Linked DNA regions of Drosophila melanogaster. The protein of the gene in region 4 interacts with the protein of the main gene of each other region in a pairwise test. Each region holds a gene or a part of one and is shown on either strand. Other genes may lie near its edges.

What was found.
Region 1: the proteins of CG13287 (region 4) and Jon99Ciii interact in a two-hybrid assay, tested with the Drosophila melanogaster proteins (one large-scale study listed by BioGRID).
Region 2: the proteins of CG13287 (region 4) and Polr3K interact in a two-hybrid assay, tested with the Drosophila melanogaster proteins (one large-scale study listed by BioGRID).
Region 3: the proteins of CG13287 (region 4) and Hr38 interact in a two-hybrid assay, tested with the Drosophila melanogaster proteins (one large-scale study listed by BioGRID).

The regions. Positions count from the first base shown.
Region 1 is NT_033777.3:29,918,663-29,924,672, forward strand, and holds Jon99Ciii (jonah 99Ciii), read left to right. Parts: upstream 1-3,553; 5' UTR 3,554-3,579; coding exon 3,580-4,377; 3' UTR 4,378-4,793; downstream 4,794-6,010. Other genes in the region: trp (transient receptor potential), read right to left, coding at 1-69, 164-365, 753-895, 957-1,194, 1,253-1,401; Jon99Cii (jonah 99Cii), read right to left, coding at 5,128-5,925. UniProt on the Drosophila melanogaster protein: Major function may be to aid in digestion.
Region 2 is NT_033778.4:20,639,554-20,645,330, reverse strand, and holds Polr3K (RNA polymerase III subunit K), read left to right. Parts: upstream 1-1,545; 5' UTR 1,546-1,606; coding exon 1,607-1,747; intron 1,748-1,822; coding exon 1,823-2,008; coding exon of another isoform or gene 2,009-2,754; 3' UTR 2,755-2,865; downstream 2,866-5,777. Other genes in the region: DMAP1 (DNA methyltransferase 1 associated protein 1), read right to left, coding at 1-552, 613-1,002, 1,060-1,160; Tcs1 (Threonyl-carbamoyl synthesis 1), read left to right, coding at 2,008-2,754; CG11110 (uncharacterized protein), read right to left, coding at 2,914-3,335, 3,401-3,494; maf-S, read right to left, coding at 3,785-4,165, 4,213-4,245; rig (rigor mortis), read left to right, coding at 4,750-5,777.
Region 3 is NT_033779.5:20,710,186-20,717,312, reverse strand, and holds the start of Hr38 (hormone receptor-like in 38), read left to right. Parts: upstream 1-2,724; 5' UTR 2,725-3,843; coding exon 3,844-4,276; intron 4,277-5,012; exon of another isoform or gene 5,013-6,111; intron 6,112-6,306; exon of another isoform or gene 6,307-7,127. UniProt on the Drosophila melanogaster protein: Binds to NGFI-B response elements. Plays an important role in late stages of epidermal metamorphosis.
Region 4 is NT_037436.4:5,879,083-5,885,335, reverse strand, and holds CG13287 (uncharacterized protein), read right to left. Parts: upstream 3,033-6,253; 5' UTR 2,930-3,032; coding exon 1,544-2,929; coding exon of another isoform or gene 1,517-1,543; 3' UTR 1,246-1,516; downstream 1-1,245.

The DNA.
Region 1 (6,010 bases), on a different chromosome or scaffold from region 4:
GAGTTCCATGGATGTGCGTGCGTGATCCAGGAGCGAGGTCCCGAAGTCCTGCACCATCTGACGCATCTCCTGTTGGGCAAACACAAACAAAGGCTCGCATTCGCATTCGCATAGACTCTAGTGGCACACTGGCCACCGCTTACATTGCACACTACTACCGTACCGTGTATTCGGCACGAAACTCCGATTCCATCGCCTGCAGGCGCTTGAGTTCCCAGGACAATTGGAAGGCGGTCAGTACAGGGTCCCGGGAGCTGAGCGCTATCAGCGAGCTGGCGGACAGGGCGCGGTATGCGTTGATCCTCGACTGCGAGTGGCGCAGGGAGTCCGTCATCTGGGAGGTCACACACTCATCGCAGCCGCACCTAGAAACAATTGAGATTAAGCGATGATATACAAAGTGTACGGAACCCAAGAGTTCTATAATAATAAATACATTTAAATCAATCTGAAAGGAGTACAAAGGACCTTCTCTCCTAGCAAGGACATTTATGACGCTGTTAAAGGCTTGAGTCCATTGACCCAATTTAAGAACATTCAAGGACCTGCTCTTCCCACACACAACATTACACCCTGTATTAATATTTCACCCTAATTTGCCCGCAATTATCTAAAATTAGAGGCACCCAGCGATGTGCTACATAAGTGTGTTGCCAATTGGACAAACAATGGAACGTGCCGCTCGAAGGACGAGGAAGCTCACTACATAGCCATATCACCGAGCAACTGCATCCCTACACCACCCCACTCACTTGACGTCGTGCGGCATGGGCAGCGTGGCCCCGCGATCCAGGAGGATTTTGAGTATCTCGTAGTTATTTCGGTGGGCGGCCAGGATAAGGGGCGTGATGTCCACGGTGAAGGTGGACTTGGAGCGGTCCACCGCCTCCCAGCTCTGCCAAAGGAGGGGAAAAGAGTAAGAGTTGTGGCATATTCTGCGGCAGGATGTGACCTACGTATGGCTGGCCCTCCTTGTGGTTGGTCTCCTCCCACTGCAGCAGCTCCTCCACCGCCTCCACATACTCCTCCGAGATGGCGTGCAACAGGGCGTCGCCCACCTCGATGTTATGCTCCAGCAGGATCACCATCAGGTCGAAGTTCTCGTTCTCGATGGCCGAAATGAGGGCGGAGCGGTTCATGGGATCCGTGCAGTTAATGTTGAACTTGTCCGTGCCCTGGTACTCCTCGAGGATCCTTCAAGGACGAAATCATATTAGCCGAGTTACTCGAAGCCATAGGGAGGAAGCCTCACTTCTTGACACCTGGCAAGTCACCCCGCTCGCAGGACAATATGAAATTCTTCTCCACATCGCTGAGGATGTACTCCTCGGCCATCATCAGGTCGTAATCCAGGCGAGACCCCAACGCCTTCTCGGCATCGGATTCCGTATTGCTGCCCATATCTGCACTGATTTACTGGTCTATGCGAACGCGATTATCAGGATCGGATCACTCGGTCACTTCACATCTCACAAACACTATGGGCATTTATCCCTGCTCCTCGGGGAGCCTTGGCGTAATCCTTTCGCGCACTGTATCCTTTAGTGTTCCATCGTGGCGATGTTCCGCCTCCAATTAGCCGCGTTGCACTGCTGAAAAGTGGCAGCCACGGGTCGCTATATTCCACTAATTACATTAGTGCCCAATGTGGCTAAAACTCGGTCAATGTGTGGGCGAACCCCGAGTCAATGGGCCCATTTGACCGCACTTCGGTAATTGTGGGGCTGCATTTGGAGGCAGCAACCGATTTTAGCGATTTCAGTTCAGGAATCTTTCGTCCATTTGTGGTTGCATTGCACGTGATGAGCGACTTTCGATTTTCGAAGCCCCAGCAACGGAATCGCACCACTTTTATGCCTGAAAATCCAAATCAATACTGCCCAGTGGGTTTATATGTAAGTGAAAAACAAAACGTGCTAAATGGAACAATATTATCTGCTTATATTTCGATGAAATGATGCATACAGTTGAGATATGAAATTAAATAGGTGTCTAATATTTTGTACCCAGCAATATAGATCAATGCCCAAAAAAAAAATACGCACTTTGCATACTTTTTGACACCTATTCAAGCCGAAATTCAAAGCTACTTAATATTCAAAAAGTAGCATGAGGGTGTTAATTTGCGAGTAAATAGGGATTCATGGACTTGGGTTCATATCCTAGAACTATTCACCGAGAAAAGCCCTTAAAAATAGGAGAAAATGCAAGCTTTTAAGCTTTTGGCTAACCAACAGAGCCGGAAAACACACCACACCTGCAGTTTACAGTCGAGTATCTACCGAATTGAAATGATTTCGAATGCCTTTTGGGCACTGGGTCAGTGATTCTGACTTTGTGATTGATGAATATTGATTAATCTGCATGGGAAGTGGGAGGGGGAGGTGGGGTGGTGTACATCTAAGACCCAACTCGTCCTTGGCAGCCGAGCGTCTTGAGCCTTGAATGTTGAATGTTGCTTACTTCAGGGCGCTCGCAGGGCTTTTGTGTGTCAATGCACTTGGAACTAAATGCCAGCTCCTGGCTAAAGGCGGAGAAAAGGAAAAGGAACAAGCCCACTTTCACGGAGCAGCCCTTTGAGATGAATGTGTGTGTTCGAAAGGTGGGGTTCAATGGAGCTCCGGGCGGAATGGCATCGTACGTGTTCAAGTCGTACGGGGTTTTTAGCGGGGCCAATGCACTCCACACTCCACTCGCATGGCTTCCAAGAGAAGAGGAAGGAAGTGATGGTGGCCCAAGGAATTTCAAAATTAAAGTCACAGCTGTCGAGGGGAACTCATTAAGTGCGAATTAATTAGAGGCCATAGCTGAAAATACCTGGATGGCATTCTCGTAATTATATAAAGGTACTCCTCATTACACAAATGTGGCTAAATGCACATTCTTCTTATAAGTTCCCATTAACTAAATGCTATGTTGGGTTTATACATGATTTTCTGCAGTGTACAACTGGGTTGCACTCAATGATTCATTGGCCTCCAACAAAACTCCTGCCTTATTTAGCTTTTAAGGACCCTTGTGAGTTATGTGCTCAGTTCTCCACGAGAAAAGCGAAAGAGCTCATTTTCCCTGGGTTTGCGTAGCAGGTTGCACTTTCACTGTCTCCCCACCGGAAACCGTCAAGATTGCGGGATAAAATTCATTTTATGGCCATCTGTATTAAAATTATATCTCTAAGCCCTCAACATGATCGTAAAAATCTATAGTATCAATGCTGATTTGCTTTATGGCACCGATAAGATACTTATGTGTTTAAACAAATTGAATGTACCCACGTAGAAAATGATTTTATGAATTGCATCCGATGAGTAGTATTTAACATTAAATTTATTGTATTTTTAACTGATTCGCAAATCATTGAACACTGATAAGTTTACGTTTTTTATATTGCTGTACAAGCCTCTGCGTTGTTTATTTTTTGTCTTTTTGCTCCTATGTAATCTGGATGACATTAATTTACTGCCCTCCAGCTCAACATATGGGTAGTTTGACACTTGGTCAAGATAAGACAAGGGACTTCTTCTGTATATAAAGGCGCTTCGACATCGGAACACCATTGAGTTGCAAGACTTGACCAAGATGAAACTGTTCGTATTCCTGGCCTTGGCCGTGGCCGCAGCTACTGCTGTGCCCGCTCCCGCCCAGAAGCTGACCCCGACGCCCATCAAGGACATTCAGGGTCGCATCACCAACGGCTACCCAGCCTACGAGGGCAAGGTGCCTTACATCGTGGGTCTGCTCTTCAGCGGCAACGGAAACTGGTGGTGCGGTGGCTCGATCATCGGCAACACCTGGGTCCTGACCGCCGCTCACTGCACCAACGGAGCCAGTGGAGTGACCATCAACTACGGAGCCAGCATCCGCACCCAGCCCCAGTACACCCACTGGGTGGGCAGTGGCGACATCATCCAGCACCACCACTACAACAGCGGCAACCTGCACAACGACATCTCCCTGATCCGTACCCCGCACGTCGACTTCTGGAGCCTGGTCAACAAGGTTGAGCTGCCCAGCTACAACGACCGCTACCAGGACTACGCCGGATGGTGGGCCGTGGCCTCCGGATGGGGCGGCACCTACGATGGCAGCCCACTGCCCGACTGGCTCCAGTCCGTCGATGTCCAGATCATTTCCCAAAGTGATTGCAGCCGCACCTGGTCTCTCCACGACAACATGATCTGCATCAACACTGACGGAGGCAAGTCCACCTGCGGAGGCGACTCTGGTGGCCCCCTGGTTACACACGACGGCAACCGCCTGGTCGGAGTGACTTCCTTCGGATCCGCCGCTGGCTGCCAGTCTGGTGCTCCCGCCGTCTTCAGCCGCGTCACCGGATACCTGGACTGGATCCGCGACAACACCGGCATCTCCTACTAAGCAGTTGATGTTCCTTAATTCTGAGGGGTTTCTTCAATAAACGATTATAGCAAGCAACTCAAGTTCTGTTTTTGGGATGGGATTCAGATGTCTTCTTGCTTAAGTAATGAAATCAATAAAATATTTCCAAGTGAAGGGAAATATATTAAACTGCAAACGGAAATAAACTTATTCCGATTTCCGATTTATGTATCGGAAAAAATCAAGCTTTAGGAACACATAATGACGAACCATCGGACTATATGCAAATATATATATATGGATCATACGTCTTATTATTATGTATTATTATTATGTATTGTTTATAATTATTATGTATATTATGTATATAAAAAGCAAACTGGATTGAAAATGGTGTATGTAGAATATTGGACTTGTTATATTTGCAACATAATTAAAGTGCATAAACATAATATAAATTTATGTTATTATAAATAGCTGCAAGTGGACTTTCCTAGCTTAAACAGTTTTAAATATAGGAATACCCTATAGTCGCTACTAGCGTTCAACAGCTATCATATGGATAGAATATAAAAATAGGATATAAAAATAAGTTAAACAATCTCGTTTTAAAAACATTTAAGGAAAATATGAGATTACTTTTAGTTTTATAATATATGTACATTTAATGTACATAATAGAATATATAAATATTTAGCTCTCAATAATGTGCCCCTCAATCTACAACTGAATAAATAGTTTGGTCGAATTTTTCATTTTTGCTATAATCGTTTATTGAACATCAACTGCTTAGTAGGAGATGCCGGTGTTGTCGCGGATCCAGTCCAGGTATCCGGTGACGCGGCTGAAGACGGCGGGAGCACCAGACTGGCAGCCAGCGGCGGATCCGAAGGAGGTCACTCCGACCAGGCGGTTGCCGTCGTGTGTAACCAGGGGGCCACCAGAGTCGCCTCCGCAGGTGGACTTGCCTCCGTCAGTGTTGATGCAGATCATGTTGTCGTGGAGAGACCAGGTGCGGCTGCAATCACTTTGGGAAATGATCTGGACATCGACGGACTGGAGCCAGTCGGGCAGTGGGCTGCCATCGTAGGTGCCGCCCCATCCGGAGGCCACGGCCCACCATCCGGCGTAGTCCTGGTAGCGGTCGTTGTAGCTGGGCAGCTCAACCTTGTTGACCAGGCTCCAGAAGTCGACGTGCGGGGTACGGATCAGGGAGATGTCGTTGTGCAGGTTGCCGCTGTTGTAGTGGTGGTGCTGGATGATGTCGCCACTGCCCACCCAGTGGGTGTACTGGGGCTGGGTGCGGATGCTGGCTCCGTAGTTGATGGTCACTCCACTGGCTCCGTTGGTGCAGTGGGCGGCGGTCAGGACCCAGGTGTTGCCGATGATCGAGCCACCGCACCACCAGTTTCCGTTGCCGCTGAAGAGCAGACCCACGATGTAGGGCACCTTGCCCTCGTAGGCTGGGTAGCCGTTGGTGATGCGACCCTGAATGTCCTTGATGGGCGTCGGGGTCAGCTTCTGGGCGGGAGCGGGCACAGCAGTAGCTGCGGCCACGGCCAAGGCCAGGAATACGAACAGTTTCATCTTGGTCAAGTCTTGCAACTCAATGGTGTTCCGATGTCGAAGCGCCTTTATATACAGAAGTGGTCCGTAGTCTTATCTCGACCAA
Region 2 (5,777 bases), on a different chromosome or scaffold from region 4:
ACTTTGCGCTGGCCGATATTCGCCGGCAGCTTCATCCTCTGCGAGCGCAGAGAAACCCCGGAACCGCGCAGGTCGGCGAACTTGATGCCGCTGCTACCGATCTCTATGGCATTAACCACCGAGTCCACCCTGGAGGGTCGCGGCTGCTGATGTACCTTCTTTTTGTGCAGCTTCTTCTCGTACTTTCGCGTACTCGGCGTATTCGATGCGTGCTCATTCTGCTGATCCGCTTGCGAAATAAGCTTCTGCAAGTCTTGTGTCTTGCGCTCGCGTTCCTTTTTGCGCGCCTCGATTTTCTTCATCTCGTTGATAAGCATATTCTCCTCCTCCACCTGTTGTGTCGTGCGTTTGAACAGCTTCTCCAGCTGCTCCTTGCGGCGCCGTTCGTGCTCGACGTCATACACAAATACTTTCTTCTCACTCGTCTGATTCTTGGCCTTGGCGAGCAGAGCGACCACCTCATAGTAGCGTTCTTTGAGCTCCTCCACAGTTTTGGTTCCATGCTGCTGACGGTTCCAACGATCTGCCATCACAATGAAGCGAAGATCGAACCTGCAAATCAAATGGCTTACAATTTTGGCTACTTAATAAGAAGTCTAATGAAGAGTCTACCTTCTGGCCAGGTCGAATAGGTGATCGGTCTGCACCTTGCTCCAGTTGTTGATGTTGTTCCTTAAGTGGGCATTGTACTCCGTCATCGTGTACGAGGGCACCTCCAGTTGCTTGTTGAACTTGGCGAACGGATAGTCGGTGGAATTGTCGGTGACTCGTTTCCAGTGGTGAAAAACCGCCGAATCGTTACGTGCCGGATTCGAAAAGGGCGCCCACTCCCACTTGCGCACCTTCTTCATGCCCAGGCGGGCCTTCGTCTCTTTGTATCCCGCTCCGATTCCCAGAGCGGTATCCGTGGGCAGGAGAGGCGGAGCATCTTTCTTGTCTGTGTAGAGCAGGGCAAACACCTCCCTATGCATGCCCTCCGGACGCCGGGACGCAGTCTTGGTCCTAAAATGATTAAATTGTAAATTAGAGAATCGCACACATGTAAATGCATTTGTTTACCGCTCAAAGTTGCGCTTCTTGGTGGCCAGAAACGAATCCCGCGTCACCTCGGGCGTGTTGGCACGCTCCATGTCCAGAATATCACGCACATCGGCCGACATGATTTAAAACTTTTGCTACTCTAATGTCTGCTAAAAATTGAGTTGCTTATTGTTTATTTTGATAGTTTTTTGCAAAACGAACAAAATTTCTTATAATGCTATTAGTATGACCGTAAACTATAAGATGGTAAATACGTTTATTTCACCATAAAATATACAGTTAGTATATGCTAGGGCTAAGTAATAAATTCACTAAATTCCGAACATGAAATTTTCAAACAGTATTTGAAAATATTTTTTATTTATTACAAATAATTAATTTATTAATTAATTATTATAATGTGCTTCAAATTAGCATCTATGGAGGAACGGTGGAACATATGGTATTGCAGTATACATTGTGATGTTATTGAGTTAGTATATCTAAGCGTATACGCGGTCACACTGAGAATTCAACGTGCTCAAATCAAAAAACTAAACAGCGCGGATTCGGATTCTCCGAAACTATGTTGTTTTTCTGCCCGTCGTGCGGAAATATATTGATTATCGAGGAGGACACCAACTGCCATCGCTTCACGTGCAACACCTGCCCGTACATATCGAAGATCAGGCGCAAGATCTCCACGAAAACCTTTCCACGCCTCAAGGTATGATCATTTTCCACTGGATGATGCAATTTGCTACGAATTTATGATAATATCTCTGATAATCTGTGTTTCCAGGAGGTGGATCACGTGCTGGGCGGCAAGGCGGCGTGGGAGAACGTAGACTCCACGGACGCAGAGTGTCCAACGTGCGGCCATAAGCGGGCGTACTTTATGCAAATCCAGACGCGGTCGGCGGATGAGCCCATGACCACGTTTTACAAGTGCTGCAACCACGAGTGCAACCACACCTGGCGAGACTAATGCGCCGCCTTCAAACGAGCCTTTATCGACTGCTCCGTGCTCACCACACATCCAGCAGAATGCAGCACCAAGCGAGCGAGCTGAGGACTCCAGTGTGCGCGGTGGGCGACGAGGCTGCTCTCCAGTTGGCCCGCCAGTGCCTGCTTGGTGGCCAAGTGATTGCCCTGCCCACCGATACCGTGTATGGCCTGGCCTGCGATGCCAACAACGAGACAGCCATACAGCAGCTCTACGAGATTAAGGGTCGCGATGAACACAAGCCCGTGGCCATCTGCGTTCACAACATCGATGCGTTGCGACGCTTTGGTCAGGCTGCCCATCTCAGCGACGAGCTGCTAACTCGTTTGCTCCCGGGCCCCCTGACCATCGTGATCGAGCGGACGTCCCAGCTGAGCAACCGTTTCCTTAATCCCAGCACCTCCAAAATCGGCATACGCATTCCGGACTTCAACTTCATGCGCGACCTGTGCGCCGTGTGGCAGGAGAAGCCCCTGGCCCTGACCAGCGCCAATCGCTCCAGTGCGCCCAGCAGTCTGCAGGTGTCCGAGTTCCGTTCCCTATGGCCCCAATTGGGCGCCGTCTTCGATGCCGGTCGAATCGGTCTGACCGAGGAGCGACGACTGGCCTCCACGGTCATTGACCTGGCCACTCCTGGCTACTATGAAATAGTGCGCGCCGGCGTGGCTCTCAAGCCGACACTCAGCCTCATGGAGGAGTTCGGCATTCGGGAGCTAAAAATGATGTAGTATAAGAGCTATTCCTTTGGCTTTAACTTTAATTTTTACTTTGGAACATCCTACTTTGCTTTGCATGCGGGAACACAACAAATTGTTTATAAAATATACGGTTCAGTATGTACACAATTGGAACTATCTTGGGCGCAGGCTCTCCGCCAGTTGGTCAGTCTAGTTGTAGTAGTTGCTGGAGTTCTTGGAGGCCTGTATGGGTCTCCGTCGCCGCGGCAGTTCGTTCTCCAGTATTCGCCAGCGTTCCGGTGGCCACACGATGGCCACTGCCCGCGCGGACATCAGGCCCAGGGCGACGGGTCCAAAGGTATTGCTGTCCATGGAGTGGCCTGTGTGATCGCCCTCCACCCAACAATGTCCTTCGGGTACGCGAACGATCTCGTGCTTGTAGCCCAGCGTGGACACGACGTCGCCCTGCAGCCCCACCACGCGCTTGATAATCTTCTGGGCGGGATCCTTGGGTGAAATGAGCGATATTATGTCGCCGCGCTCCACCTGACTGTTGTGGGTGCCCCAGCGCAGCAGGAACACATAGTCCTTTTCATCCGGCACGGGATTGAGAGCGGGCTGCATGGAGATGCCTGCAAAAAGTTGTGGATTAATTAGCGCACACTAACATGGAGCGAATAAACTCCGGACGACTCACCATCCACCCTGGCCACATAACCAACGCAGTCCAGGAAAGTGACGCCAAGTGGCAGAGCGTACAGCAAGGACTTGCCAAAGAACCGAAATGCCATGGATGAACTGGTTGGAGAGCGGAGCTATCGAGATGAATACATAACCACCAGCCTTTTGCCGAGTTCCTTGTGCGCTCCGGATCTTATGACATTCGCAGCGCAGCGCCGACACGGGTTTTGTTTATGCTAAATACAGGGTGCTTCAATAAAGGCGATGCAGAGGTTCTTGAGCAGATTACGTTTATTGAGGAAGGATATTTGCCAGCTATTGTACTTTAGTTACAGGTGTTTTTTTCCGTTTTGGGTTTATTGTAATTTTGACAGAAACAGGAATGTGACTGGGCAATCGTTCAGCAGCCCTCCAGCTCGCTGGGAATGGGTATCTCGTTCTGGATGGCGAACTGCAGCAGCGCCTTGTACTTGTTCTTCCAGTTGGACACCTCGCGGCGCACCTGCTCGTTGTCCTCGTGCATCTGCTCCAGTTCCGTCCACTCGTACGACTTCTTAGTCTCCAGCTCGTCCTTCTGTTCGATTCTCTTGATGCGGCAACTGGCTGCGTATCCGCGATTCTTTAAGGTTCTCCGGCGCTGCTTCATCCGAACGATCTCCTCGCGGTTCAGGCCACGCATCTTGAGGGTCCGATTAAGATCCCTTACCGAAATGCTCACCAAATCGTCATCGGTAATATCCGGAATTGGACATGGCGAAAGTGGTGCCTGAAAATCGCACTTCTATCAGGGTTTTCTTTCTTCTTCGCATATATCTACAAGGTACGTACCAGGGATGACTTTCTCTCGCGCTTTGCTTCCATTGTGGCCGATTGTATTTTATTTTTACGGAGACTTTTAGAATTTGCTAGATTTTTCTACCTTTTTTTTTTGCGTTGTTATTGTGTGTCTTCTTCTTCCTCTCTACCTGCTGGTTGCCATTCACAGGAAATGGATTGCATAGAGTTGGCAGATAGACAAAAAACGTCTGTGGTAAATAGCGGGTAATTTAAATATACTAAAGCTAACGTGATCCCTAGATTTTAGGCTTTGTAGCATAAGGTACTTAGTTATATTTTTAAATTATTTATATAAAGCAGATCCAGATTTTTGTTATAAATACAAGTTCGAAAATAACAAATTTATATTTTAATTATTATCAATTTTAATTAACTGTTAAGTTCCGTGCCTTCCAGGTGGCATCGCTGGCAAAGTTTAAGAAGCTGCCTAACACTAACAGCTTTACAGAAGTTTTTTCCCCGAACGACGCCAACTGTTAGCGGGAAATATTCCTTCATCCTGCAGATGCCAAGTCCTTATTGTTCGCCATGAACTCGCAGGTGATGTACCACAATGTGCCCACACCGCCGGGCAACGTATCTTTGGCGGCCGCTGCTCCCGACGGCGGTTTGCTGTACGCCGGCATTCGCTGCATCAACTACATATCCGCGCCGCCGGCAAACGGAGAGCAGCCCCAAGTGGTGACCATGTCGACGCGGATCAACATACTGGCCCTGGACGTTAGTCCCATGTGGGGCTTGGGCAACGGTGGGCCGACCAAGCCATTCGCCATTGTGGGCGACGATCTAAGCGTTCAGGTGTGGGACTGCGCATTGGGCGAAGCCGTCATCGGGCACAAGGCCCATCAGCACCAGCACGAGGCGCGGGATGTGCGCGTCGTGCACCACACTACCAACTCCGTGCTGATGAGCTACCTGGCCAATGGTAACATTCTATCCATGGACGCCAGTGATCTGGTCATCTATTGTGTGGCATCCAACACCTACTGCCGTCGCTCCACTTTCATCTCGCCCCGAAATCACCAACTCACTATGGTGCGCTGCTCGCCCTACAATGACAATTTGTTCGCTGTGGGAACGGCTATGGGTAATGTGCTGGTCTGCGATCTGCGCAAAATGAACATCGTCTACAAGTTCCACGGCCACAAAGCGCCCATATGCGGCTTAGCCTGGCGGGAGGTGCCTGCTGCCGAGGACGAAAAAACCAATAATCTGGCGTTAAGTGCTGAAGAGTGGCGAAGCCGCAATGGCGGCCAGGAGGAGAAACCCAAGACAAAGCCACCACCACTGACCAAATCGAAGGCAGCCGAATCCGACGACCCTTTCGACATATACAACTTTGATCATCTTGAGTACGAGTTCGGTGCACCTATAGCTGAACGCCGCCGCAAATCTTCAGAGGATTGTGGCGGCGAATTTGTGGGTCTAGAGAAGCCAGCTGGTGCCGCTGTCTTAGATTTCGTTGAGGCCTGCGAGAGTGTGAAAGCCGAACTCTTAGCCAGTCGCCAGGAGGATAAAACGCAGCACGTGGAGGTCACGCTGCATGACTGCGAGCC
Region 3 (7,127 bases), on a different chromosome or scaffold from region 4:
AGAACAACAACCAAGGCACAGCAACAATATCGGCGATAGCAGCAACAACTAGGAGACTCCAACGCTAAGCTGTTTGCATGCACTTTTTGGGGCCACCAGCAGGTCAGCCAACAGCAGCAGCACCACTAGCCCCACTAGCACCACTGGAACCACCACCACCACCTCCACCTCTGCCACCACCATAATCGCCAAAGGAACAGCGACAGCACCATCGACAACAGCAAGAAAGCTGGCCGAAACAGTGGCTTAGAGTCCATATGATTTGGAGGCGGTTTCTAGAAAGCTTAATACGCCATGGAACTACTAAAACTCTGACCATTAACATCCACTAATGAGTAACGTGGATATTTCCATTTCTCATATTACAATGAAATGAATATAGAAATGCCACTAAAGCTGCTTTTAAGATTATAGATATAGATTATAACAAAAATAGATAAAGATCGGGAATAAACGGAGTAATAACTAGGAACACTACTCATTACCTCTAGTGGTAGTACCACATTATCCTAGAAACTACTTCTTTAATAGCCATGGAGAGGCATCATCCTTTTACGAGTGATCCACAGCCACTGTGCTGAATGCACATGGTGCCTGCCACAGACCAGTTCCACTTGCGTCGCTCCCAAATCCAACTACAATAATATATATGTACATGGGAAGCCACACCACAGAGCGGCACATTACAGCACACCGCACCCCGGAGCCACAATGGGCCGCAGTGTGAGCCGGACCCAGAGCCGCGAGACCCGGGCAAAAGCATTATGGGAAAAAATGTAGCCGAAAACGAAAGGAAGAGCCACTGCGCCCAGAAAGCCAAGTCGCTCGGCTCTGTCGCGGTCGACGCAGCAGTCGGCCGGCCGACTCAGCGATCTCACGTTTTGTCTGCGGCTTCCACATGGAGAGGCCCAAGTGCACAGCCCGCGATCTCCGGTTCGTACGCTAACAACAGTTAGAAAACGTGGCTTGGAACCTGTCTAAAAATAGCCACAGCGAATGCAGTCCAGCACACGAGCGGCCGACATGCCGACAAGCCGACAAGCCGAATGAAAACGAAACCTTAAACGCCAGAAGACGTCGCCGCCGCAAAGACGAGTCTGCGGATCCCGAAGATTTGGATTTGGGTTCGGGTGCCGAGCGCCAAGACTCTCACTCTCTGTGCAGTCGACGCTGGCAGCGCGGTCGACGCCGCGTCTTCGGGTTTACCGTTCTCTAGTCGTGTGTCGCCGATCTTGGGAGAGAAGATTTGTACTGGCTTTGCGTTATTATTGTTTTCCTCGTTGTTGTTTACGAGCTGCAAACGCCGGTGTCAATGGTAAAGTGCATTAATATTCCCGCTTTTCCGACGGCTCGCGGGGCGGGAAAATCGCTCGGATCGTGTTATTGCCAGTTATATCGGCCAAATGATTTGTGGCGCAGCTTATTTATATTTGGGGATGAGGAAAGAGTGATCTGGTTTATGAAGTGGCAGGATGGTATTTTGTTAAGTGGAAAAGCGAAATTGGCCTGGGATCTTGTGTGAAATCGATTTGTCTTAGCACTTGGAGTGAAATAGGGAATAAAAGCGGGTAACTGAGATAAATATAAAATCGTGATTTAAGTTGAAAGGAAAACCAGACTCATTTCTAGGCTAAAAGTCCGTTTTGCATATCAATTTCAATTTGAAATATTTATAGCATAATTATAAATTATATTATATAGCATAAATATAAACCAAATTCAAAAGTAGTAAATCACTATAAATAGAATATTGAATTCTTGCCATATGATACTTGTTATTCTTTTCGAAATTTCTATCTTCCTATTTAACATGATAGCTTTACTTTTCCACCCACGCTCACCATCATGGGATTGACTCACATAAACATATTCCTCGAAATCTGGTCCATTTTCCTTTGCTTTGAATACACCCACACACACGAGAGCAAGGAAGTCCTTTCCACCAAAACGACACCACAGAATGCCCACACAGACTTAGTACACTGAGAAGAATATGTAGTTTAAGACAAACAATAAAAAAACAAACAACATTAAAAACATGCTTTTTATAAATGCATTAGAGTACAGTCTACACATGGAAAAGAGATTGATATTTAAAGACAAGTGTGTAGATGATGTACAATGTGCATAAGGGAATATTCCTACAAATTGTACGTCCTTATATATCCTGAAATTAATAAACATGTTTCCTGTGTACGATAACTGAGAGAAACGGAAGTTTTGGCAGCAGGCGAGAAGTGGATACCCAGTGGGCGGTTGGAAAAGCGGAAAAGTGGGTGGCGGAGTGGTAAGCCGGAGCAGGTGAAACGGCACCAAGAGCCCCAATCAATCTCAGATGCGAGCAAAAGGGATGGCCAACGTCGGTTTTATGACGCACATAATTTCCGCTTCCGAACTGTCCCACTGGACTGCATTCGGAAAATCGGTCGCTGAAAATGGGTGGAGGGGATTTTCCGGCGCAGGCGCTCTGCCAACGACGTCATCGATTTTCCTCGCACGAGCTGCGCTCAGTTGTTGGCCCCAAATGACGTAATAGCCGGGCCGCAAAGGTAGGTCGTGTCCCGCTCGCTTGCCGTCGCCCCTCCCTCTCCATCGCACACTCACTCTCGCTCTCACTCGCTCTCGCGAGCGCAGCACGGCGCCAGCTGAGGCAGCGCTGTCGACGCGACGCGTTGAATATAGTCGCGTGTAACCGTAAAGATAAGTTCAGTCGCGTCACAGACGCCGCATTGTTAACAACTTTAGCCCAAACAGCCACCGCTCACGGAAAAGCCAATACAAAATATAGAACTTATATCGAGGCGAGCTCGATGGTTCTGAATTTCCGATCTTAAGTCAGCCAACTAAGACTTTAATCCACACAACTATATAAACATCGCGTTCAGTATTAACGAAACACAAAGCCAACATAGGTGTGAGTGCTCAAGAGTTAAACAATTGCAACAAGTTGTTGTTCTTTATCGATTCGTGCATTCGTTCTATGCGGAAACGGAAGCCGGTCGACAGCGCGGCGTATGCGTAATAACTTCCAACGGTTGACAACGCGGCGTATACTTCACCTTTACCTTTCTTAAGCGAACAATGCATATATTTCGGTGGGCAACGCTGCGTATGTTTGTTTAATCTATCTTACCCCGCTGCGAATGTGCAGTAAATTAATCTATAGTAATTCAAATTTCGTTTCATTTCTGAGAGACAAGACACAGATATTTTTGAACTGAAAGTTTTGCTAACATTTTAACGAGCACGTGAGCTGAAGAACAGTAGTAATTGTTTTTGTGTTGCCCATTGCGCGCGTGTGTGTATCAGTGTGTAAAGTGTAAGCAACGTCCTTGTGCCTCCCACTACTGCAACTACCACAACCGAATATATATGTATATGTATATAGAGACCCCAGTTGATATAGTATAGCGTGCGTAAGTCGTTACGTCGCTTACATCGTCACTTGGCCACTGCGCAAACGCCGGAAAAAAGGAAAGGCAACAAGAAAAAAGCCAAAAAAAAAAGGAGGCAAGTTCAAGTCTAAGGACACACAACAAAAACAACAGCCGGGCAAGGACAGAAAAATGAAGCCCGATAATAACTACTGCAATCAGAGCTACTGCGACAAAAGCTTCGGCCACTCCTGCCGCAGCCAAGAAAATTGAGGCAAAATCCCAGCCCAACTCGGAACAGTCGTGCTGGATCACCAGCGCCGCTCGGGGCGCCAAACAGGTGCCTATTTAGAAACCATATAGTGTGTGATCTGTGTTGTCCCGTCCTGTGTGCGTTTTATGTTTGTGTCCCATCATCACCATCAACATCATTGTTAATTTTGGGTTCTTTAACGGAGAATCGTGGTCTATGATGCGCGATCGGCTTGCCTCGCTGATTGTGGTGAAGCAAGAGGGCGGCAGCAACACGAGCATTAGCCACCACCAGGCAACGGCCATTAAGTGCGAGGCCTCACTGTACACCGAGAGCAGTTTGTTCCAGGAGATCAACAACAACTCCTGCTACAGACAGAACCTCAATGCCCCGACACACCAGCAGTCACACACATCACACCTGCAACACGCACAGCAGCACCAAACACACCAGCAACATCCCCTCTTGCCGCCGCCTCTGCCGACTCTGCCTTTGATTTACCCCTGCCGCAACCTCTTTCCCGACGGTTGCGATATCAATCACCTGGCCTGCTGCAGTTCCTCCAACTCCAACTCCAACTGCAACTCAGACTCGAACTCCACCTCCAGCTCACCCGGCAACAGCCACTTTTTTGCCAATGGAAACACATGTATGTATTTGGTTTTCCCTTTCGGCTTATCGGTGTTGGTGACTTTTTCGTTTTTTGTTTTTTTGTATTTTCCAAACTCAAACGCCGCTGTGGTGTTTTCTTCTAATTCGCTAATAGCACACGCGGCGTATACGCAATGTGCAGCGCGCATTGCCAAATCGGCCAAGAAGCTAACTGTTTGCTCAATCCGTTTGAGAAGGCAGGTCGGGAAAAAATCTGAAAAATGCAACTTGAATAAAAAAGGGGGCGTGGCTGGTGGGGGTAGGTTGGACAACGCACAATGACGACATAAATTTGCATGAAAACTGCTCAAAATGCATCATAAAAATGGTGAAAATATTAAGCTTCCATTCGCAAAATACGAGAGCAACCACAGTAGAGGTCAAGAAAATGAGGCAGAGAACTTTAAAAATTCTTGGATTATGATTCAAAAATGATTTAACAATTAAAAAGTTTAAGCATTTGGAGTACTATTAAAGGCAGCTCTAAAAATGTTCGGTATAGTTTTTTTTTAAGCACATCAGAATTAGTTTCAAGCTATCATTTGCATTAAAAATTGTATGCTATGAAATTTAGTGCATTAATAAAATTAATTGTATAGTTACATCAGAATTAGTTTCAAGCTATCATTTGCATTAAAAATTGTATGCTATGAAATTTAGTGCATTTGCATAAAATTAATTGAGGCAACTATACCGAACTGTAAAGACGGGCTTAAATCAATTACCACCACTTTGACCTTAGTTGTGTGTGCAGACCCGTCTTGGCTCTCGGTGAGCATGTGCTGCTGTTTTTGGTGTCGTACACATGTTTACCAGCGTCAGCAAAGCGCCGCAGTTTCAGCAGACGGCAGCGGACGCAGCCTGACGCAAAATGATTTACAAGCTGCACAATAAACACCGCACACAGATGCAGTGCGTCCGATTTCCACACAGATACTCACTATCGACGGCTAGGGATGGCCAATGCATTTTTATTAATAACCGCATAAAAAAAACATCGCCGATTGAAGCTCAAGCATGGGAAAGATAGATCGATCATTTCATTGCCGAGTGGGTGGTTGGTTCGGTGGGTGGTGTTAGGGCGCCCGGCGGTGGGGCATCCGATTATTGGGCTTACTAAACGGCTTGAAAGGCTTTGCCAATTCATTCGCTGCGGCAAAGTCGGTTAGCCACTTGTTAGCCGCTTCTTAAGCGACTGTATTTTGCGGCTAACTTAGCGCCCATTAAGTGTTTCCCAGCAATCAGCTTTTAAGCACTCTGCGGTTAGCGTTTTCAACTGCAAGTGGGCCATGTGAGCCTTCAATTCACAGGAATCTACTATATGCACATTCTAAATTGATTTAATTGTCAATATTACAGAATGATTATCATGCGCTACATATGGATAGGTATCCTTTCGATAGTCTTCGGATAGGTTTTTTGAAACAACTACCCAAGTAGAAAATTAGTTTCTATGGTGAAATGCAGTTAAACACTAAACCGAGGGTTGCCAATCGATTGCAGAAGTGAAAATGCAGGGCGAAATGCACTAGACTCAGTTGACTATTAGACGTGGCAAAACAAACATCTATATTTATAAGTTGGCTATATAGTACCATAATGGCGATGGGCGCCAAAAGTGCCCGACATCGGATGACAAACCAGAGCAAAACAAATCGCCGAAGAACATATGACCAGGTGAGGTGCATCCACTAGTTGTGGTATATAGTATTTAAGCCATGACGCCAGCGGGGCCATGAAATCGGCCAGTTTAACGGATTAGGCGGCACACAGTTTTCACATTACGGGTGTTTTCCCGAGGCACGAGTGCTGAAAACGTCATCGTCGCGCCGAAAACGAAAATATATGACGAAACCGTGAAAAGATTGCACTCTCTTTGCGTCAGCTGCATCCCTAAATGTGTATCTATTTATATATATATATATATATCTCATAATTGGTTCGATTTTATTTTCATTATATTTATGGCTGGCCACGTGCTGATGACGTCTTATTTCGGGGATGAGTTGGCTGTATGCCTGCAGTATTATCACAAGTCAGCGTATTTCTTATTCCTACGACTAGTCACATTTCGATTTTGTTTTTAGTTGTGTTTTTGTTCGATGCTCACGGCGGGGCGTGTGAAAACACTGTTGCTTTTACTCTTTTCTTTCCGATTTGCCTTGATTGCTCATACGCCCCGTTCAACATGGCAACATCTCTTGGGCGTAGCCAATTGCATTTCAACATGGCCCAAAGCGACCCGGCAAAAGGTCCGCCCGAGCCGCACATATATAGACGTTCGATGCACTTGGCCAGGGATCGAGATGATCGCGGCTTCCCTTACTGATTAACCCCAGCGAAACGAGCTTGATAAATGATGCAAAACACAAAATACCTAACTACTCACATATCTATGACACCCGAAAAAATTTAGATACAAAATATATCGTAGCCCCTTCATTGTGTAGTTATTCACGATCCGTCGTGCGTTGTGAGTTATCTCCGCGGCAGCTGTCGGGATGGCCATTGTTGATTGTTGCCTCTTTTGGCCATTCCTCATACTCGTAGAGACACTCCACACCGCTGCGAAAATGTAAACCATCCCCGCTCACACCACCCTGCACACCGGTTTCCCCGGAGCAGCTTCATCTGCCAAGACCAGTAGTCACCTTCCAAGTTTCGTTTTCTTTGGCCAAACACATGAGCAAACATACACAGACGGTGGCACAGGTGGATCGAAAGGCGTTAGTCGGATAGCCCACTAACATGGTTAGGATCTGAACATTTTTCCATGTCCACGAGCTCTTTGTTCTTCGGTTGGGCTGAGCTAATGCCCGATTCGATGGGCATTTAGTTCCGCTAATAGT
Region 4 (6,253 bases):
CTTTTATCTCTTCACCTTAATGCTCCACACCAATTTGCTTACATTAACTTTCCCAGCAATTGTTTTCCACCCCCCACTCCAGCCATGTGAAAGGAGCTTGGAAAATGTCTTTATCAAGTGGCAAGCAGCGAACACAAAGCCATAAAATGCTAATCCCATCATGGGAACAATGAGCAGAGCGGATCGGAGCAGAGCGTTTGCCGTTTAGCGATGCCATCAATTGATACATCAGTCGATAAGGCAGGAAGACGTCCTGTGAGAATCCTGGCTGGCTGCTTGGCTTCTGTGGCACGGGGCTAACAGGATTTGGCCACGCTAAATCAACGCAATTCGATGTGGCTCATTTGAGTGCAGCAACGAGCCAAGGAAATCGCTGGGGGAGCAGCCACCACCCAAGGAATTCGTTGCGCTTTGTAGGAATTTGCTACGCTACAAATTCGAGGCTCATGGGAACTGAATTCCGGAGGGTTGGCAAGTGTGGAAATATTGAAATTCGAAATACATTTTTGCCAAAAACTGCACTAGTACTCCGCGATGATGGGTTATCCTGGAAGCTCGTCGTATTCGTCGCGCCGTCTAAACGAATGACTGCCTTTTTTGGGCGCAGGACAACCCCGAAGTATCCTTTCATCTTGTTACAATTTCGGTTCCCAGCTCATTAGCGTCGGCGTCGCAGTTTTTGTGGCCGCATCTAATTGCTGCATGCGGCCAAAATGAATACTGCTGAATCGCAACTACAGAATTCACTGCCTCACTGCGCTAATAAGTTGAACATATTCTTCGCTCTACTAACATGGCGTATGTTACTTTTGGTACCCGCGAAAATCTGGTGCTTTTTCTGGTCCTGGGAGCCTATGTTTTCGGTCTACCTCACAATCGAAATAATGGGTTGTCCGGCCAGGAATTCAAAGAACTCCATATGCTGCCAAATCAAGATATCTTCGTCTTCTAGAATCCCTGGTTTGGGATTCTTTTTTTCAAAAATTAATTGAATTTTAAGCTCGGTTGTCTTTTGGGATTTCTTATTAAGGTGGCGTCTATATAAGCTTAATCACATTATTTCGAAAGCATAGACAACTCATTGGCTTTTGTTTAAGCTTTTCAAAAATATTTGATTGCAATAATCCTCAAGCTCATTTTCATAACATGATTTTAGAATACTTCAGATCTACTACAAGATAAAATTTCCCATTAACCCAAATTTTATTAATAAAACGTGATTACTATTGAATTGGCATAACAATTAGATTTTTATTGAAACATTCAGCCACACATTGAATTTGCAACTTAGCCATAATATCTTACAATGATGAAACTGAAGATCCTTTCGGGTCCTTCGATAAGAAAGATAATTAATTGAGATACAGGGAGATCCAGTTACATATTTAAGATACAAATTGCACTACATTTAAAGCTAAGGGGAAATTAAATCGGAGCGTGGGGGAAACTAAAGTTAATATCACAATCGAAAATGGGCAACGGGTTTTGTTTTTGGGGAGTTAGTTGACTTGATGACTTAAAAATATCCGAAGAAATGCTTCGATCATTTGGGCATACCACCCATTCGGCGACCTGGCGGTGTGCCGCCGACCACGTTGATGATCTCGTTGTCACCGGCAGATGAGGATGAGTCCTCCAGCTGCGGCTGGTGATCACTGGCCTTGTCCTGGTGGGCGGTCATGTGTCGCGTTAGATGGTGTCGCTCCCTGAAAGTCTCCTGGCAGACGGGACATCGGAGTTTCTCCTCCCGCTTCCGTCGATTTGGATCGCAGGCCACTTCGCTTTTGTGATGGGATCGCATGTGATACACCAGATCACTGGTCATCCGGAAACTTATGTTGCACTTGGCGCACACATTCTGAGCGGTCAGTGTAAAAGTGGATGCCAATGTGGGTGGAATCAACGTGGAGAGAATGGCTGCTGCAGCGGGATTCTGGAGAGGTTGGGATACCGCGAATGGATGTGGTGGCGGAGCAAATCCGGGATAGGCATGCAGGAACTCCGACGGTGGACCCGGTGGTGAGTTTGCCTGCATAGTAGGTCCTCCTCCATTGGGATTTCCAGGTCCTGGTGGACGGGTGTACAACAACTGCTGCTTAAGGCGCTGCTGTGCCTGCAGAGCCTGCATGGGATTCACCGCCTGGAAGGCTCCGTTGAACTGATACTCCGGTCGGAAGTTGTGGTAGACTATGGGATTTGCTGGCAGGGGATTTGGATTCTGGCCACCGCTATTGGTTCTTGGTGGAGGTGTCACCAATGGTGGACTTATCGAGTGACAGCTTAGCTGATCGGGACTCAAGGGCGGAGCTCCCGCATCCACGGGTGATTCCAAACGTGAAGTGGTCGATGGTGAGGATGATGAAGTGGACAGCGACGAGGAGGCTACTTTGGTAAAAGCGCTGCGCATGGGCGGTGGTGGTGAAGAAGTTGATGGTGCCTCTGGAGAATCCACCAGGGGTATGACCACACTGGGATCATCATAAACCCGCGGCGAACGGATGCTGATCTGTGGATACCGCTGGCGTGCCTCCAACAGACTAATGTACTCCAGTGCCGCCGGCGAAGGTGGTTGCGAGGAGGTTCCTCGAGGAGACAAATCTGTGGGATAGTGGCTCATCTGCTGCTGCTGCTGTTGGTGGTGATGATGGTGCAGTGCCTCTTGAAGGCGAGCCTGCTTCTCGGCCTGCTTTTGCTTAATCCGTTCATCGGGCATCATGAGGAAGGCCACATCGAAGGCGCGTTTAAGAGTGGTCTTTCCACCCGGTGGCGATGTGGGTGTCTCATTGTTGTTATTGTGATTAGTGGTTTGATTTTGCTGCGGTGACTGTTGCGGTGATGTGGAGATCCTAAGCTCGGCGTGCTGAGGCGGCGTTGGGCGACGCTGGCCAGGATTCGCGTGCGACGGCATGCTATCCATGAGCAGATTCATTTTCACTTCAATACACTTTTCGACTTTCACTTGGCTCTGGTAGGGACTTTGGGTCTTTGGTTCTATACAGTTCCTTGCGATTCGAAATTCCAGTTTCGACTGCTGGCCGCCCGCAATCTGTTCCTCTTTAAGTACCCGCTGCCACAACCACCGCGTCCAGTTGGAATTCTCGTATTCTCATATTGTCCCATTCAATTGGGAAAAAGCAACTCTCCGCACTCGCGGCACTTGGCCCATCTGTCCTGATTCTGCTCGGAGTCTGTTCAGATTCAGGTCCTGCAGAGAGCACCACCCTTATGTTCCTGCTCTTGCTCTTTCACTCCCGCTTGTCCTCTCTTTCTCCAGCGGTCTTCTCTCTCTTTCTTTGGCCCACTCTCCGTCTCTCCAGCGTTCCATCTGCTTTGCCAGTTGGCGAACATATTCTGTGGTTTTATTGTGCGAGTCCTAGCCAGGACGACTCCTGGTTGGCTAGCATTCACGGACAGGTTGGCTTGTTCGAAAACCTTGTTGTGCTGTATGTGATGCATTGGTACAATGGGCAATGTTGTTGTTAAAGTTGTGTGATATTATTTAAAAAACTTAATTGATTAAACTTAGAAGGATTTGAAACTAGGGTCATCTATATGAGAAGTTACTCTTATTCATTCAAAAGAGTTGAATATCTTGAAGTAGTTGCGCTTAAACTTCATTAGGTAAATGTTTTCAAATATTTTACAATAAATAAAACTTTTTCGCATGGTTTCCATTTAGATTTTTACCAAAACATTATATTTTACTAAATTATTTTCCCTGTTCCGCCCACTGTGCACTCATCTCTTTTCGCAAGGAGGCGGTGCTTGATCCTGGCCGCTCTCTCGCTTGCTCTCTCTCTCGATTTGCCTCTCACACCCACCCCGAAAATATGGCAGGACCTGCCCTCTCTGTCTGGCTCTATGCCCGTCTCTGTCGGTGGTGATGTCCTTGTTGCAAGTGTTTCCGAACAGGTTGTTTTTGTCGATTTTTTAGCAGTTCCAGCGAGATTGTGTGAATATGTGGCCATGTTTTGTGCTGGTGTATTTGTTGCGTTTGTTGCTGCTGGCTTGGATTTTGAGTATATGCTGCGCGTAGCTTTTACATATTGCCAACTACACACACACACACACACACACACGCTCTGGAATTGGGGTTCCCCCGTTTTGTAGGCGACTGTTGAGCGTCGAAATCTTTCAACATACCGAAATATTTATTTGTCAGTTAAGTTAGCGCTATGTGGAAAAAGTGGCAAGTGCCCAGTAAATATGCACATGCAACAATAGCAAATTGTGCAATGCCTTCCGTTCGTTTTCCGTCTCGTTCTGATCCCCCGTTTATTTCCCTTTTTTCCGGCTAGACCCTAGATCCTGGCAGACCGGATGCAAGGATGTGGCCATTGCCAGGACAAAATATGTGTCTGTTATGGTCAGTCGTGAACAGGGTTTGCAGCTATGGGGTGTATGTATATTTTATTTAAATTTTCGACTCTTTTGTTGCACTTTTTGCTTGCAGCCATGTGGCTGCAGCAGCGGCAATTTAATGTTTGCATATTTTCAGGTGCTAATTGTTCCACTTGCCATATGAGTTGCATTTTTAATTAATATTTATAGCCAACAGCCGAGTGTGCGAGTGTGCGTGTGTGTGTGTATGGGTGCATTTGAGTATCTGTGTGCTGGAGCCTATAATTCGCATGGTCGCCATGTTGGCTGTCGACGAAATTAATATTAAACACATGATTGCCTTCCAACATGGCCATTTCATTAAAAATATTGTTTAGCTTGTATTTAATTAATTGCCGATCGAACAATGCAAGCTCAACCCATGGGCTGATGTGATTTTAAATTGATAAATAAAATGGGATATTCAAATGTTTGGTGCAGTTGATGCTTAAAGCTTATGGAAAATCATTTTAAAATATATAAGAATTAATTGGGTTACCCAAGCCTATTAAATGCTGGAGTCTGAGTAAGTTAAACTATATCTGATCAGTTATCTTATCTTACATCGGACCAATTTCCTCAATATATTACTTATTGTCACATCTCACCAGAAATTACCCCCATTTCAATTGGACTCTCACATATGTGACACGTGTGCACAATTGAAGTCAAGTGAAAATCCCGAACACATTCTCAGTTCATTGCAGTAAATATTTTCAGCGCAAACTAATGAAAATCTCCGATATACAAATCGAGCACAAAATTTCCACTAAACCCAAAGGCTTATCTACCCCTGCTGATCTCGCTCTATTGCTAACTAGATGATTTTGTCTTGTCACTGAGCCAGGGGATGGAACTTTAGGTGGGTTGGTTGTTTGGTTTAGCGCCTGTCGATACATCAAACTGCCAAGTGACAAAGTGATTGCCCCGTTGTCAGGCCGAGACAAAGCGCAAAAAGGCGTGAAATTGCCTTTGTGTGATTAAGTCGAGACCGAAGGAAATGCGAGCAAAAGCGAGGAAATGTCCCAGGAAGCAAATTAAAAACTAAGATGGCAATCTCTCGACTCAAGTTTAGACACAGCTACGTGCTCCTTATGCCCGGGCATAGCATCCTCGCCGGGTTTCAATTATCCTTGGTAAGATAGCAAAATGTAAATGCTAATTGCTTCAAGTTTAGCGTAGAGCTGGCTACGTTTATTCCGGAGACAGCAGACACCTTTTCCGTGGAGATTGTGGCCTCGGTTGATGTTAATGTGCTGCCTGTCTCCCGTAATCTTTGTGTTTTGTGTGGAAATCCTGGAGGAAACAGCTTCTTGCTGCCTGGAGATCTAAGCGAACTAAGTGCACAGAAAAGTAAAATTGTCGAACTTCTGCATGTTAAATTTCAAGTTCAAACAAAAAGATATACATAATATTATTAATACCTTTAATTGTGTTTTATAACATTTTCAAATGGTATTCACATATTTCATAAGGTTAAACAGATAGCATCGGGTATCACATAAACGGGTTTTAATATTTGATATGCGATAAGTTTTATCACAATCTTTAAAGCTTTTTGTTCAGTGGATTATGTTGAGCTGGCGCAGTGGAAGTTTCCATCGAGTTTTACTATATTGCATACTGCACTTGCCAACCCTCAGGACTCGCAATGTCCCTAGAGTACGGAGTAAACTAAAACTCGAGTCCTGTTCCGGATCCAATCAAGTGCTTTTCGCGCATTAAATAAAAATTCGAATTGGATTTCATGTGAGCAGGACGAGAACCTAATTGTATGAGGGTTGGAGGACTTTGTTCCTTGGAGGGCTGCATCTAAATCCGAATCTCGAACTGGAACTGGAGTATTTTGGAGGGTAGTTGTCGGTTTCGACAG